Macaca mulatta: one gene and its partners. The protein of the gene in region 2 interacts with the protein of the main gene of each other region in a biochemical or structural test. Links are inferred from orthologs where the notes say so. Each region holds a gene or a part of one and is shown on either strand. Other genes may lie near its edges. The genes, in order: UBE2G2, MARCHF6 and UBE2J2.

Region 1 (3,575 bases), on a different chromosome or scaffold from region 2:
GTATTATCTGAGCATTAAAAATAATTACTAGAGGCCGGGCGCGGTGGCTCAAGCCTGTAATCCTAGCACTTTGGGAGGCTGAGACGGGCGGATCACGAGGTCAGGAGATCGAGACCATCCTGGCTAACACGGTGAAACCCCGTCTCTACTAAAAAGTACAAAAAACTAGCCGGGCGAGGTGGCGAGCGCCTGTAGTCCCAGCTACTCGGGAGGCTGAGCCAGGAGAATGGCGTAAACCCGGGAGGCGGAGCTTGCAGTGAGCAGAGATCCGGCCACCGCACTCCAGCCTGGGTGACAGAGCAAGACTCCGTCTCAAAAAAAAATAATAATAATAATTACTAGAACACTAAAAATAATAATCAGACCACCTGCAGTACATAGTCACATAATGTAATCAGTTTATTGGTCATATTTGTCACTAATGCCACATCACAGGTATTGTTCTGAATAATATATTTATCCTCAATACAATTTTAGTATCTTAATTACCTACAATCCTCTTCACAGTTGCATTTTACAGCCAACCAACTTGAAACTGACTACTTCAATTACTCTTACCTATCAATTTTATTTTTTAACTTTTTATTATGGAGAATTCCAAAAACACACTTGAGTAGACAGCATATGATGAACCTCCATGTTACCATTTAACTCAGGCTCATGGCCAGTCTCCCTGAAAGAAAGGCAGGCTTCTGAGCATCTCCTGTGCACACAAGACTGAAGTAGCTCTGAGACAAGAAAAGAAGTACCAGATGGTCTTTCTCAGACGGCCACCCACTACCTATGCGTACCAATATCTGCAGTAAATGAGAAGTCCTTAATGAGGGTTAGGACAGCAAGTCTAACAGCAGAGGGCATTTCCACGAGGGAAGTGGCGGGGGCGTCGGGGGACAGTCCTGAAAACCCCTATGGCAAAGAGGAGTTCGAGTAGGGCTCTGCCTAGACAGGTGTAGACAAGGGGAAAGTATACCAAAGGGATTCCATTTTAACCCCAGAGAGAAGTCAGAGGCTCAGAAAATTCTATAAATTCTCTCATGCTCTTTGATATGCATACAATAAGAAATTTGTTTCAAATAAATATTTCATTTTTGCAAAATAGGATACTTTATTTGCTTTTCTTCTCTATAGCTATTAAGATCGTGATTATCAGCGGCAATAATAATCATTTATAAGAAACATTATTCTAAATAACATCATTGAAGATATAACATATTTCCTTATTAATTCTCTTACGTATAATCCCCAAATGTAAAAGGAAGAAATAAAAACTACAGTTGTTCAGGAATTCCAATTCCTACTACTGGACACATTTTCAAATAGCTACAGTACAATTCACTTAAATGACCTTATTTTTTTCCTCCTTGTAAAAGTAATGTATATTAATTTTAGGGCAAAAAAAGATTTATAAAAAGGAAAAAATAATTTCAATCTGAAAAAAGAATCACTTAACATTTTTGTGCTTACTTTTCCAATTATATATACATTTACATGTAAATTTATTTTTCAAGAGGAAATTACAACAGTCCTACTGCTTTTCCCAGTCAATATAACACAAATATTATTTTGTTTTATTGATTCTTATTTTAGATCATTTTAAAAATCTACATCACATTCTAACATATACGATATGGTTTGGCTGTGTCCCCACCCAAATCTCATCTTGAATTGTAGCTCCCATAATTCCCACATGTCATGGGAGTGACCCAGAGGGAGGTACTAAATCATGGAGGCACACCTTTCCCGTGCTGTTCTCGTGATAGTGCATAAGTCTCACGAGATCTGATGGTTTTATAAAAAGCAGTTTCCCTGCACACACTCTCTTGCCTGCCACCACTAAGATGTGCCTTTGCTTCTCCTTTGCCTTCTGCCATGATTGTGAGGTCTCCCCAGCCATGTGTAATTCTGAGTCCATTAAATCTCTTTCCTTTATAAATTACCCAGTCTTGAATATGTCTTTATTAACAGCGTGAGAACAGACTAATACAACATATAACTTAATTTATTCTTGTGTTAAAAACCCAGGTTAAGTCAAAATTTTCACCATTAAAAATAACACTATGACAAAGATTAGCATAACCCCTTCTGAGCACACACCCACAAGTAAAACTTCCTCCCCAGTGAAGTAGGGTGGCTGGTCAAATGGCATCCAGTTTTCTTTTATCTACATTAAACTGACCTTCAAAATTGAAATCATGTGTTTAATACCACCATGCTTACCTGGCTGAATTTCAAAACCTAAGAAGTGTTTTCTAAAGATCTACATCATAGACACATAGAATATACCACATTTCAAGTGGTTGATAAGATTATCTCTGCACCTATCTTGGTACCACAAAAACTACTTCCAAAAGCACTTACTGTTAGGATGAAACATCTCACAGGTAAATCTCATCTTTGGGGGACTTAACGGGTAATCAAGTGGGAAACTCAGGATGGCAGGAAAAACGCCAAACTCAAAGCAGGTGTCTTCTGGGCCCCTAGAAGATATCAAATATGTAGACTGAACTTCAAAGTACATTTTTCAACATCGACCACAACTGAGAAATGGGTTAAGAACATTTTTACCACTTTAAAAATGCACATGAGGCCGGGCGCGGTGCCTCACGCCTGTAATTCCAGCACTTTGGGAGGCCGAGGCGGGCAGATCATCTGAGGTCAGGAGTTCGAGACCAGCCTGGCCAACATGGTGAAACCCGTCTCTACTAAAAATACAAAAATTAGCTGGGTGTGGTGGCGAATGCCTGTAATCCCAGCTACTAGGGAGGCTGAGGCAGGAGAATCGTCTGAGCCTGGGAGGTGGTGAGCCAAGACTGCACCACTGCACTCAAGCCTGGGTGACAGAGCGAGACTCTGTCTCAAAAAATAAACAAAAATAAAAATTAATAATAATAATAAAAATGCACATGAAAAGATTATCTAAATGACAATGAATTGGTACTTTTTTCCTCAACTGAAAGCAATGTCTCATTCTCCTATTTCAATCTGGTCTAAATCTTAAGTACAAGTACAAAGACTGAGTTACAGGCAGTTTGCACATTTATAAAGGTTAAGAGTTGAGCAGCAAAACCTCTTGATAATTAGGGGATCAGAGAAAATAACTCATGTCAATGCTCTAAGATCTGGGAGCTTTTTCTGCAGATGTGGTACAATCACATTTTAGGATAAGGGTATGAATTACGGCAAAGGATATAGCAAGATTCCATTGTATTTCAACAGATAAGGGGCTAAGAGTTGTATTTTAAAGGTGATTTTTAATTTTTAAACGTGCCCAAGAAGGCATCTTTGCAACCTTCAAGAAGCAGATGAAGAGCACATGTGATCACTGCTGCATGCTAGGTGAAAGGCTAGGCACACAGGTACCACCACTCCAGGCCGCAACTGCAGGACCACGTGTCATGCCTTATCCCACTGATGCAACACTAGAACAACTCCCCGTCATGGGCACAGACACAGGCATGTGAGTCTCCCTGGACCTATACTTTCCTCACAAGTAAATGGAAGAAATAGATGAAACCATTTCAGAAATCCTGCTTAAGGTTTAAAACCCAACAAGTATAAATTAACACTATCTTAAC
Region 2 (4,281 bases):
CAGGAGTTCGAAATCATACTGGTCAACATAGTGAGACTGCAGTGAGCCACTATCGCACCACTGCATTCCTGCCTGGGTGACGATGCGAGACCTCTTCTCAAAAAAAGAAAAAAAAAACATAAGCAAACAACAACAAAAAACAAATTTAAAGAATGGCTGTCTGCTTAATCATCAGGGCCAGCCCCTGAAATCAGTGGGTCCCTATTATGTAGAGTTCTTTCCTGCCTTGAGTAACATGAGTGACATCAGTAAACATTAGTCAAGCGCTGCTCTTTTTGAAAAACTGTATTTCATTATTTTTATTCTAAACCTTATTCTATTTGATGAAGATTGCGGGAGGGGCCCTCCCAATTTCACCACTCACACATAACAGCGGTTGCTAGCATTCTTTATTTGTGCTAGGTCATCTGCATATTGTTTAAACATTTTTCGAGGCTGGAAAGACTGCTCCCGCTCAGGCAATTCTGACTTGGCGGCCCTTCTAATTTGTATTCTCTAAATAATTCTTCATTTAGAGAAACAGTCAAGGATTACAGTGAGGGAGGGTGACGTGCTGATGGGGACAGAGCTTGGCCTAGGACCGTTCTTCCCTTAGCTCTGCGCAGGCAAGCGTCCCTAACTCGGTATCCGAACAGATCTCCCTTAAAGGAGGATTATGTTTCAACCCCCAGCCTCAGCGGTTTACTCAAATAGTCCTTCCAGCCAAATGCAGAAGTCTCCCTGGGAGTAATTTTGGTGAAGTCAGCGTTTGCCTTTTTCATCACAGTGAGGCTTTAGTAGTTCCTCAAAACGTGCACCACAACGGCCCGGGTGCCAAACAGAAATGCTGACGCCTGGGCCCACTCTAGCCATTCGGCCTCGGCATCGCGGTGCGGGAGCGTGGAGCGCAGACTCGCATTGTCACAGGCACCTCCCGGCCTCCCGAAGAGCCCCGCGCCGTAGCCTTTGTCTCGCACGTCGGCTGGGGCGGGCGCTAGGTTCTCGCGGCCTCTTCCCACTGCTCTGCGCCCCTCCAGAAGCGGTCACCAAAGCTCAGCTACTGATTAGGTTTCGGCCCCGCTGTCCGGCGCATTCTCGGCGACTACCCCAGGTGGCCCAGAGCACGCGGTGATTCACCGCACCCCCGAAAAAGGTCCTTCCCCGCCTTAGCCTACAACCGAGCGTGCGCACCGCGGCCGCCGGAAGTGACACTGTCTGTCGTTGGGGAGCTCCCGCCCCTTCCGCCTCGGCGCCCCGCCCAGGCCTCGCCCCTAGGTGTTCCCGCCCCTCCCCCTCCCTTGTGGTTCGCTTTCTGTCAGCCTCTCTCCCTCTCCCTCTCCCCTCTCCTTCCTCTCGCTTCCTCTCTCGCACCTGAGCGCACGCACCTGCCCGGGCCCGGCTCCCTCCTCCTCCTCCCCGCCCTCTTTCCCCGCCCGGCCGCGGGAGCTCGTGGCTGCGTCACCGCCACCCCCCCAGACAAGATGGACACCGCGGAGGAAGGTAAGTCGGCGACGCGCGGCGCCCGAGCCCTTGCGTCGGCTCCCGGGTTCGTGCCCCGGCCAGGTCCGCGGCGCTCGAGGTGGGCGGCTGGAGCGCGGCAGGGCGGGCGCCTGGGCCGTTTGCCCACCCGCGGGGCCTCTGGTCCGGGGAGCGGAAGGTGACCCTCGGCGCGCCCCCAGCCGTTTCCCGCCCGCGCCGCCGAGGGGGGCGGGGACCCTGCCGGGCCGGGCCCGGGTCCTGGGGCGTCGTGGCTGCTCCGGGCCGGCGTGGCCTCCCTCGTCCCCGCCGTCGCGCGCTGGCCCAGAAGAGGGGGCCGCTGTCGCTGCCGCTGCCGTCCGGGGGCGTTTTCCGCACCCTTCCCCCACTGGGTTTTGTCTTTCTTTACGTCCTTCTGCCTATTGCTCGCCAGGCCCTACCCCCTCGCCACAGAACTTCTTTGTTGACTTTGAAACTTCGCGAAAAATACCCCGCCAGGTGACTGCCGAGTGGAGTGAGCTGACCCCTATTGAAAAGCCCGGTCCTCGGCTAGCCTGCAGCTCGAGAATCTGTTTACTAAACGGAGGGGGGGCTCTTTTGTTGCGATCCATTTGGTTTTAAATCCTTGACACCTATAAGCAGGGTTCTCTTGGTTTTGTTTTGCGATTGCCTGTTGGATACGGTTACTTTGAACAAACTGACCCTTCTACAATGAATACCTAAGATGTAAACGTCCACACCTTATGTCTCTTCAAGCGCATTTTCTTACCCACTGAAGGTAGTAAATTATTTTTAACCAGCTGTGTTTTTAAATGAGTGGTGAGTTTATAGAGGAAATTACTAAATTATTCTGCCTTTTTTGATGTTCCGGTTATCGGTGCAAATGCTTTTCTACTTTAGGTATATTTATGGGGGGTATAAGCGTCTTTCAACCTTATAGGTTGTGATTTTGGCAATTTTAAATGAAAATGAATTATCAGACGCCGTCATGGGGTGCAGTAATGAGTGAAAAAAGTTTGATAATATCTCTGTAATGAGTTGATAACGACTTATTTTTTTAAAAGAAGTCTTGCCTTTAATAAAAACCTCAACTATAACATGTGGCACTTGCTGTACATTCGCGTTTGATCTTCCCAAAAGGCCTGTGGAATAGGTAGGTATTATCTTTTATAGATGTTGAAATGTAGGCTTCGTTGTTTTAATAGCTTGTCGAAGCTTTACACAGGTAGTAAGAGACAGATTTGAATGTAGGCATTCTGATTGCAAATAATTTCCCTTTCATTATGCCACAGTATGTTTATTATATACACTGAGTGTAGCTAATCGCCACTGGAGACGCCTTTGGAAAAAATAGTAAAGCGAAACTGCTGAAGGTTGGGAACTATTTCTTTTTGACAGGTGGTCCTTTGTGTAAAATTTCCATCTATGTAGGTTTCACATCCTTTCAGATTCAAGTTTTAATGAATAAATCTACTAAGGCATGCATTTATCACAGGATAAGTACGGACGTATTATATTCAATTCTCATTCTTTTGGCCTGGGCATTGCTACTTGCATACTTTTATGGTGTGACAGTAACCTATGGTAATTCAGGAATTGCGCTCGAAGCACGTATGGAATCATGAAATATTTTCATTGTACTTCTAGTGCTTAAATATATTTTTTCTCTTGTAAAATTATAATCAGGATAAGGTATACATGACATTTATTTGTTGAACACTGTTCTCTGTTAAAATAACATGTGCTGAAGACTCAACGGGTAGAATATGCTTTACTAAACACTTTATATACATTTCATTTAATTCTGTCAACATCGTTAAGTAGGCGGCATTTTCATTTTACAGATGAGGGAACTGATGGTTAGTATGATTAAGTAACTTGTCCAAGATTATACAGGTAGTAAATGGCAGAGGCACGATTCAAGCTCATGTCTGTCAGACTCTGCACTTAAATTAGATATTTATTTATAAGTGGATACTAAATGTCCAATGTTGGAATTTATTTTTGTCACTCCCTCTATAGGATGGATCATTTTTATAATTTGGCGAAAATTTTATTTTGCTTTATTTTATGAAATTAGTAGTCATGAAATGCAAGTGAATTTTAGTGCTGTATTCTCATGCCTGCTTTTGCAAAATTCCAATTTGGAAGTCTTCTGACATTTTTACGATAAAATTTAAGTTGAAATAACACTTAAAGGAAAAGGGAGGGTTATAGAGGATTAAAAATAATAGAGTGAAGATGCCAAAAAACTAATAAATGTTCTATTTGCGAAATCAGTTATTATAGATTATTTCTTTAAAAAATGCAACTTAGGTTTTTAAAATCTGTTATTTTTTGGTAGGAGATATTCAAAATATGGCCAAACATAAAACTAAATTGAAAAAAAATCAGTATCACCTACTTTTGAAAACACTAATGCTGTTGTGGTTCTGTTTTTTATTTATTTTTTTTGTTTTCTGAGACGGAGTCTTGCTCTGTCGCCCAGGCTGGAGTGCAGTGGTGTGATGTCAGCTCACTGCAACCTCCACTTCCTGGGTTCAAGCAATTCTTCTGTCTCAGACTCCTGAGTAACTGGGATTACAGGAGCGTGCCACCTCTCCCTGCTAATTTTTGTATTTTTAGTAGAGATGGGGTTTTGCCATGTTGGCCAGACTGATCTCGAACTCCTGACCTCAGGTGATCTGCCTGCCTCAGCCTCCCAAAATGCTGGAATTATGGGCATAAGCCACCGTTCCTGGCCGGTTCTCTGCCCTTTAAAAATATATTTTAATATTCCACGCAAAGAGATTAAGAATAATGTTACAAAAACACCAACCATGCGCA
Region 3 (4,162 bases), on a different chromosome or scaffold from region 2:
TCCTCTGAGCTGAGCCTCACTGCCACCTTCCCACCTGCAGAGTCCCCAAAGGTGCGCTCTCATCACACACTACTGAAGGACAAACAAGGCAGGGCGGGCCTCCATCTGCCACGGGCCACAGCCGTGAGCGTGCAAGCGAGTGGACGTGCTGGTGCCTGTATCTGCGGCCGGTGTGGCTTCCCTTACATAACTTTCCATGCTGTAAAACCAGCTCGGCCCGCCCTGCCTGGGAACGGCAGAGGCCTGAGAGGAGGCAGAGGAAGGAGGCTGGATGCTGAGCTGTTTTCCAAAGGTGGTGCCTGTGACGTCAGGAATGGAGGCAGGCTGGATTCCCACGGGCTGAGGCTGTGTGGACATTCCTCCTGGCTTCTGCCCCAGGAGCTGCAGCAGCGTCTCAGACCCCCACCAAGGTGTCTCGGAGGGGCAGAGTCAGGCTGAGCATGGACACAGACTGCCCTCTGCCCGTAGCCACAGCGGGACCCACCCTCAGTGTTCAGCCACCTTGCTGACCTGTGGTTGTCTCTGAGAGGCCATCAGGGTTGGGGCAAAGGACAGGGCCACAGGCAGCCAGGTGGCGAGGTCCACCTCCCAATCCCCCACCAGGGGACCACCCTCAGCTCCCCGCTGTCCTTAGCTGCCTCTCGGGGAGGCGGTGGGTTGTGTGCCTGCCCTTAGCGTCCCACCCCAGCGCCCGGCCACCTACAGCTCCCTCCCAATGTGTCTGGGGTCAGAGAGAGGTGGAAAGGACGCAGCGCCCCGCGCTTTCTAAAGTCTGTCCAGAGGGAGGTCGGGGCGTCCCGGCACTGGGCCAGGCACCTGCAGGGGGAGGGTGCTGGGGCGGGGGCGTCCCGGGGCTGGGAAGGCTCCCGCAGGAGAGGGTGCTGGGGCGCGGACGTGGGTTGCAAAGCGATCCCACGCGTGTCACTCTCGGGTCCCTGAACGAGCCAGGCCTCCAGGCGCCCGGGACGCTCCACGCCGGGGCCGCGCCGCGCCGCGCCTCCCCTAAGGGCCGGGCAGGGTGTGGGAGCGGAGGACAAGGCGGGAGGGTCGGGGTCCTTTCTCCACCGGGGTCGCCCTCAGCCGGGCCTGCCGCCCTGGGCCGTGGCACGTGGGGACGTAAGCGCGCGGCTTCGGGGTCCGGGGCTTTCGCGCCCACTAACGGTGCCCGCAGCCGCCCGCCAGTGCGCACGCGCCGACCGCCCCGCCCTCCCCCGACCGGCGCCGGCGGCGACAGAGAGTCGTGGGCGCGGTCCTCCAGGCTGCCTAGAGCGGCGCCCCGCCCCCCAGGGAACGCGCACCGGAAGCAGAAACTAGGCTGGTTCCGCCCCGCGAGCGGCCATCTTGGAGGTTGAGGCGGCGGCGGCCCTGCGACGGGTTCGGTGGGCCCAGTCCCGGCGCGGTGTGGCTGTTTCGGGCGCGGGCCCCGCTTTTCCGCACCCTGCTCCGGCCTCGACCACGGCGAGCCTGAGCGCGGCGGCGGCCCACGCGCAGCGACAGGGAGAGGTGAGCGCGCTCGCTGGCCTGCGCCGGGTCCTCGGGCCCGCTCGACCGCCCCGCCGGAGCCGGCCACAGCGGCGGCCCGGGGCTGCGGGGGACCCTGCGCGACGCTTCTCCGTTCGCGCCCGCCGCCCGCGGGGCCCTGGCCCGAGCCTGCGCGGAACCCGAGGTCGGTTACGGCGGGCTCCCGGAGCTCCGGGTCAGGGTCAGGTCGGGGACTTGACCACTAGGCCGGGTCTCCCGTCCGTTGGGACACTTGCGGCTGCCCCAGGACGGGCAGCCTCGATCCTGGTTTGTCAATGGATCCCGGGAGTCTGTGTCGGGGGAGGGCTGCCGTTGAGCCCGCCGCCGCCTCGCCCTGAACTGTTAGACCCCACACTGCCCCGAGAGGCACGAGAGAAACGAGCGTGCCCGGGACGGTGCTCGGGGCCAGCGTTTCTGGGAAGCCCGGGCGGTGACAGTGGGAGACCGGAGTCTGGCTCCACCGCCGGCCGGCGGGAGTAAGACACGAGCCCGGAACAAGTCCCTGAGCTGCGCCGGGCCTCGCCGTCCACACCTGCCAATTCCCTGCACCCTCTCAGCCCCTGGCTAGGTGTCACCTCCTGGCCTCCTTTTCAATGCTTGCCACTTAGTGCGTGTGTATTTAACTCAAGTCCGGTTGCCACCCTCTTGCCAGACCCAGATAGGAAGCGGCTGAAAGGTCGGGCCTCAGCCCGGTGGGAGGGCAGCGAGGAGCGTACAGCAGGCTTGGCTGGGGCAGGTCGGTGGCCCCGCGTCCTGCCCCAGGGGAAACAGACGGTGTAATCTGGCTTCCGAAGAAGTGAGTATCTCGCTTAATCCAAAAGTCCAGCACCTGAGCCTAGGGCGTGGTTGGGTCTGGGTGCCCGGAACTCACAGTCCGTCATCTGCTCGGCCTGGCACCGCTGACCTCCTTAGCAGCTCCGCTCTAGGCAGGTACATGTGTGAGTGACAGGCAGGTGAGCCAGGCAGGTGCATGTGTGCGTTACAGGTGAGTGTCCCACCTCCATCGGCCCGGGCTTCCATCCAGCCTTCGGAGCAGTCTGGTGGAGAAGGCAGAGACTTCCGTGGCAGTCCTGGACCTGGGCGTGCCACGCGCCTGGCAGATGGGTCAGGCCAAGGTTTCCTGCCACATCCCTAAGCAGGAAAGAGCTGTCCAGACAAAGAGGGATGGGTGAGAGCTGCTGGGCAGCCACTGTCTCAGCGCCTGGGCACAGCTGCCCTCGGTGATTCACGCTGCTTTTATGCAGTTTCCGTGTAAACGTTTTTTTTCTGTACCTTTTTGTTTTAAAATCGCCAACTCTTTCTCTCAGCAGGATGATGTGCTTGGTGTCCCTTGTCTGTGGGGATGTTTGAAGGGAACCTGAGGCACATATGCTTCAAACTCTGTTCTCACAGTTTGCTTCCTTTGTGGATTTTTTTTTTTTTTTTTTTGGAGACAGGGTCTCTGTTTCCCTGGCTAGAGTGCAGTGGCATGATCTCAGTTCACTGCAGTGTCCGGCTCCGGAGTTCAAGTAATTCTCCCACCTCAGCCTCCAGAGTAGCTGGGATTACAGGTGCCCACCACCACACCCGGCTAATTTTTTTTTTTTTTTTTGAGATGGAGTTTCGCTCTTGTTGCCCGGGCTGGAGTGCAATGGCGTGATCTCAGCTCACCACAACCTCCACCTCCTGGATTCAAGCGATACTCCTGTCTCAGCCACCCGAGTAGCTGGGATTATAGGCATTTGCCAGCACACCTGACTAATTTTGTATTTTTAGTAGAGACAGGGTTTTACCATGTTGGTCAGGCTGGTCTCGAACTCCCGACCTCAGGTGATCCGCCCACCTCGGCCTCCCAAAGTGCTGGGATTACAGGTGTGAGCTACCATGCCCAGCCCCTTTGTGGATTTTTATTTTCCTTGTCCTTCCTGCTGTCATATTGGGAGGAGATGAATTGGGGGAAGTCGCCCCCTGGCGCCTTGGGGGACGTGAGAACGCTGTTCTGTGTGAAGCTCAGGAAGGGTGTCTGGGGAAACAGCAGTTGAATCGTGAACATGATTTTAAAAGCCTCTCCAAGCAAGTATGGGAGGGAAGCTTGCTTGTGACTGACTTGATGGAATCTATTTTATTTTTGCGTGGCTGTCCATGACCTTTCATTAAACCCGCAGCCTGGCCACTTAGCTAAGCCCAGACACACCTGTACCTGAATTGTCCAGTGAATTATTTTGTATATGGCAGAGTGTTAGCTTCAGGGTGAGCGTTTGAAAGGACGGCCTGTGTAGAGTGCTGCTTGGGGTCATCGCTGTGTCCATCACCAGGTGTTGGCCTGAGGGGAGATCCCTGGCCCATTGGCTTCTTGAGCCAGGAGCTGGGGATGCCACTGTGTGGAGCACTTCCTTCCCGGGCAGGACTAGAACCCCGTTCCTGGTGAGGGCCCTCCTGGGGAGGCACTCCTTAGGCAGAGGAGCCCGCCCTTGCCTCTGCTGGGGCCCGAAAGGGCCCTGCGTGGTGTGTGGGGTCACATGGAGGCCAGTGATGTGTGACAGAGTGGGAGGCATTTGGCAGGGAAATCAGGGAGGCCTCTGAAGGCGGTGGCCCGGAAGGGCCTAGGGGAGTTTCCAGTAGAGTCTAGGCTGGGAAGCAGCAGTGAGAAGGAGTGTGTCGG

Evidence for each region.
Region 1: the proteins of MARCHF6 (region 2) and UBE2G2 form a complex in vitro, tested with the Homo sapiens proteins (2 studies listed by BioGRID). The link is inferred for Macaca mulatta from reciprocal best matches to the Homo sapiens genes MARCHF6 and UBE2G2.
Region 3: the proteins of MARCHF6 (region 2) and UBE2J2 form a complex in vitro, tested with the Homo sapiens proteins (2 studies listed by BioGRID, with this or other methods). The link is inferred for Macaca mulatta from reciprocal best matches to the Homo sapiens genes MARCHF6 and UBE2J2.

What each region holds. Positions count from the first base shown.
Region 1 is NC_133408.1:2,750,119-2,753,693, reverse strand, and holds part of UBE2G2 (ubiquitin-conjugating enzyme E2 G2), read right to left. Parts: intron 2,478-3,575; coding exon 2,359-2,477; intron 1-2,358. UniProt on the Homo sapiens protein: Accepts ubiquitin from the E1 complex and catalyzes its covalent attachment to other proteins. In vitro catalyzes 'Lys-48'-linked polyubiquitination. Involved in endoplasmic reticulum-associated degradation (ERAD).
Region 2 is NC_133411.1:11,499,350-11,503,630, forward strand, and holds the start of MARCHF6 (E3 ubiquitin-protein ligase MARCHF6), read left to right. Parts: upstream 1-1,453; 5' UTR 1,454-1,460; coding exon 1,461-1,479; intron 1,480-1,679; exon of another isoform or gene 1,680-2,233; intron 2,234-4,281. UniProt on the Homo sapiens protein: Endoplasmic reticulum membrane-associated E3 ubiquitin ligase that plays a critical role in mitigating endoplasmic reticulum stress, the regulation of cholesterol and lipid homeostasis, and ferroptosis.
Region 3 is NC_133406.1:239,412,365-239,416,526, forward strand, and holds the start of UBE2J2 (ubiquitin-conjugating enzyme E2 J2), read left to right. Parts: upstream 1-1,323; 5' UTR 1,324-1,503; intron 1,504-2,173; exon of another isoform or gene 2,174-2,317; intron 2,318-4,162. UniProt on the Homo sapiens protein: Catalyzes the covalent attachment of ubiquitin to other proteins. Seems to function in the selective degradation of misfolded membrane proteins from the endoplasmic reticulum (ERAD).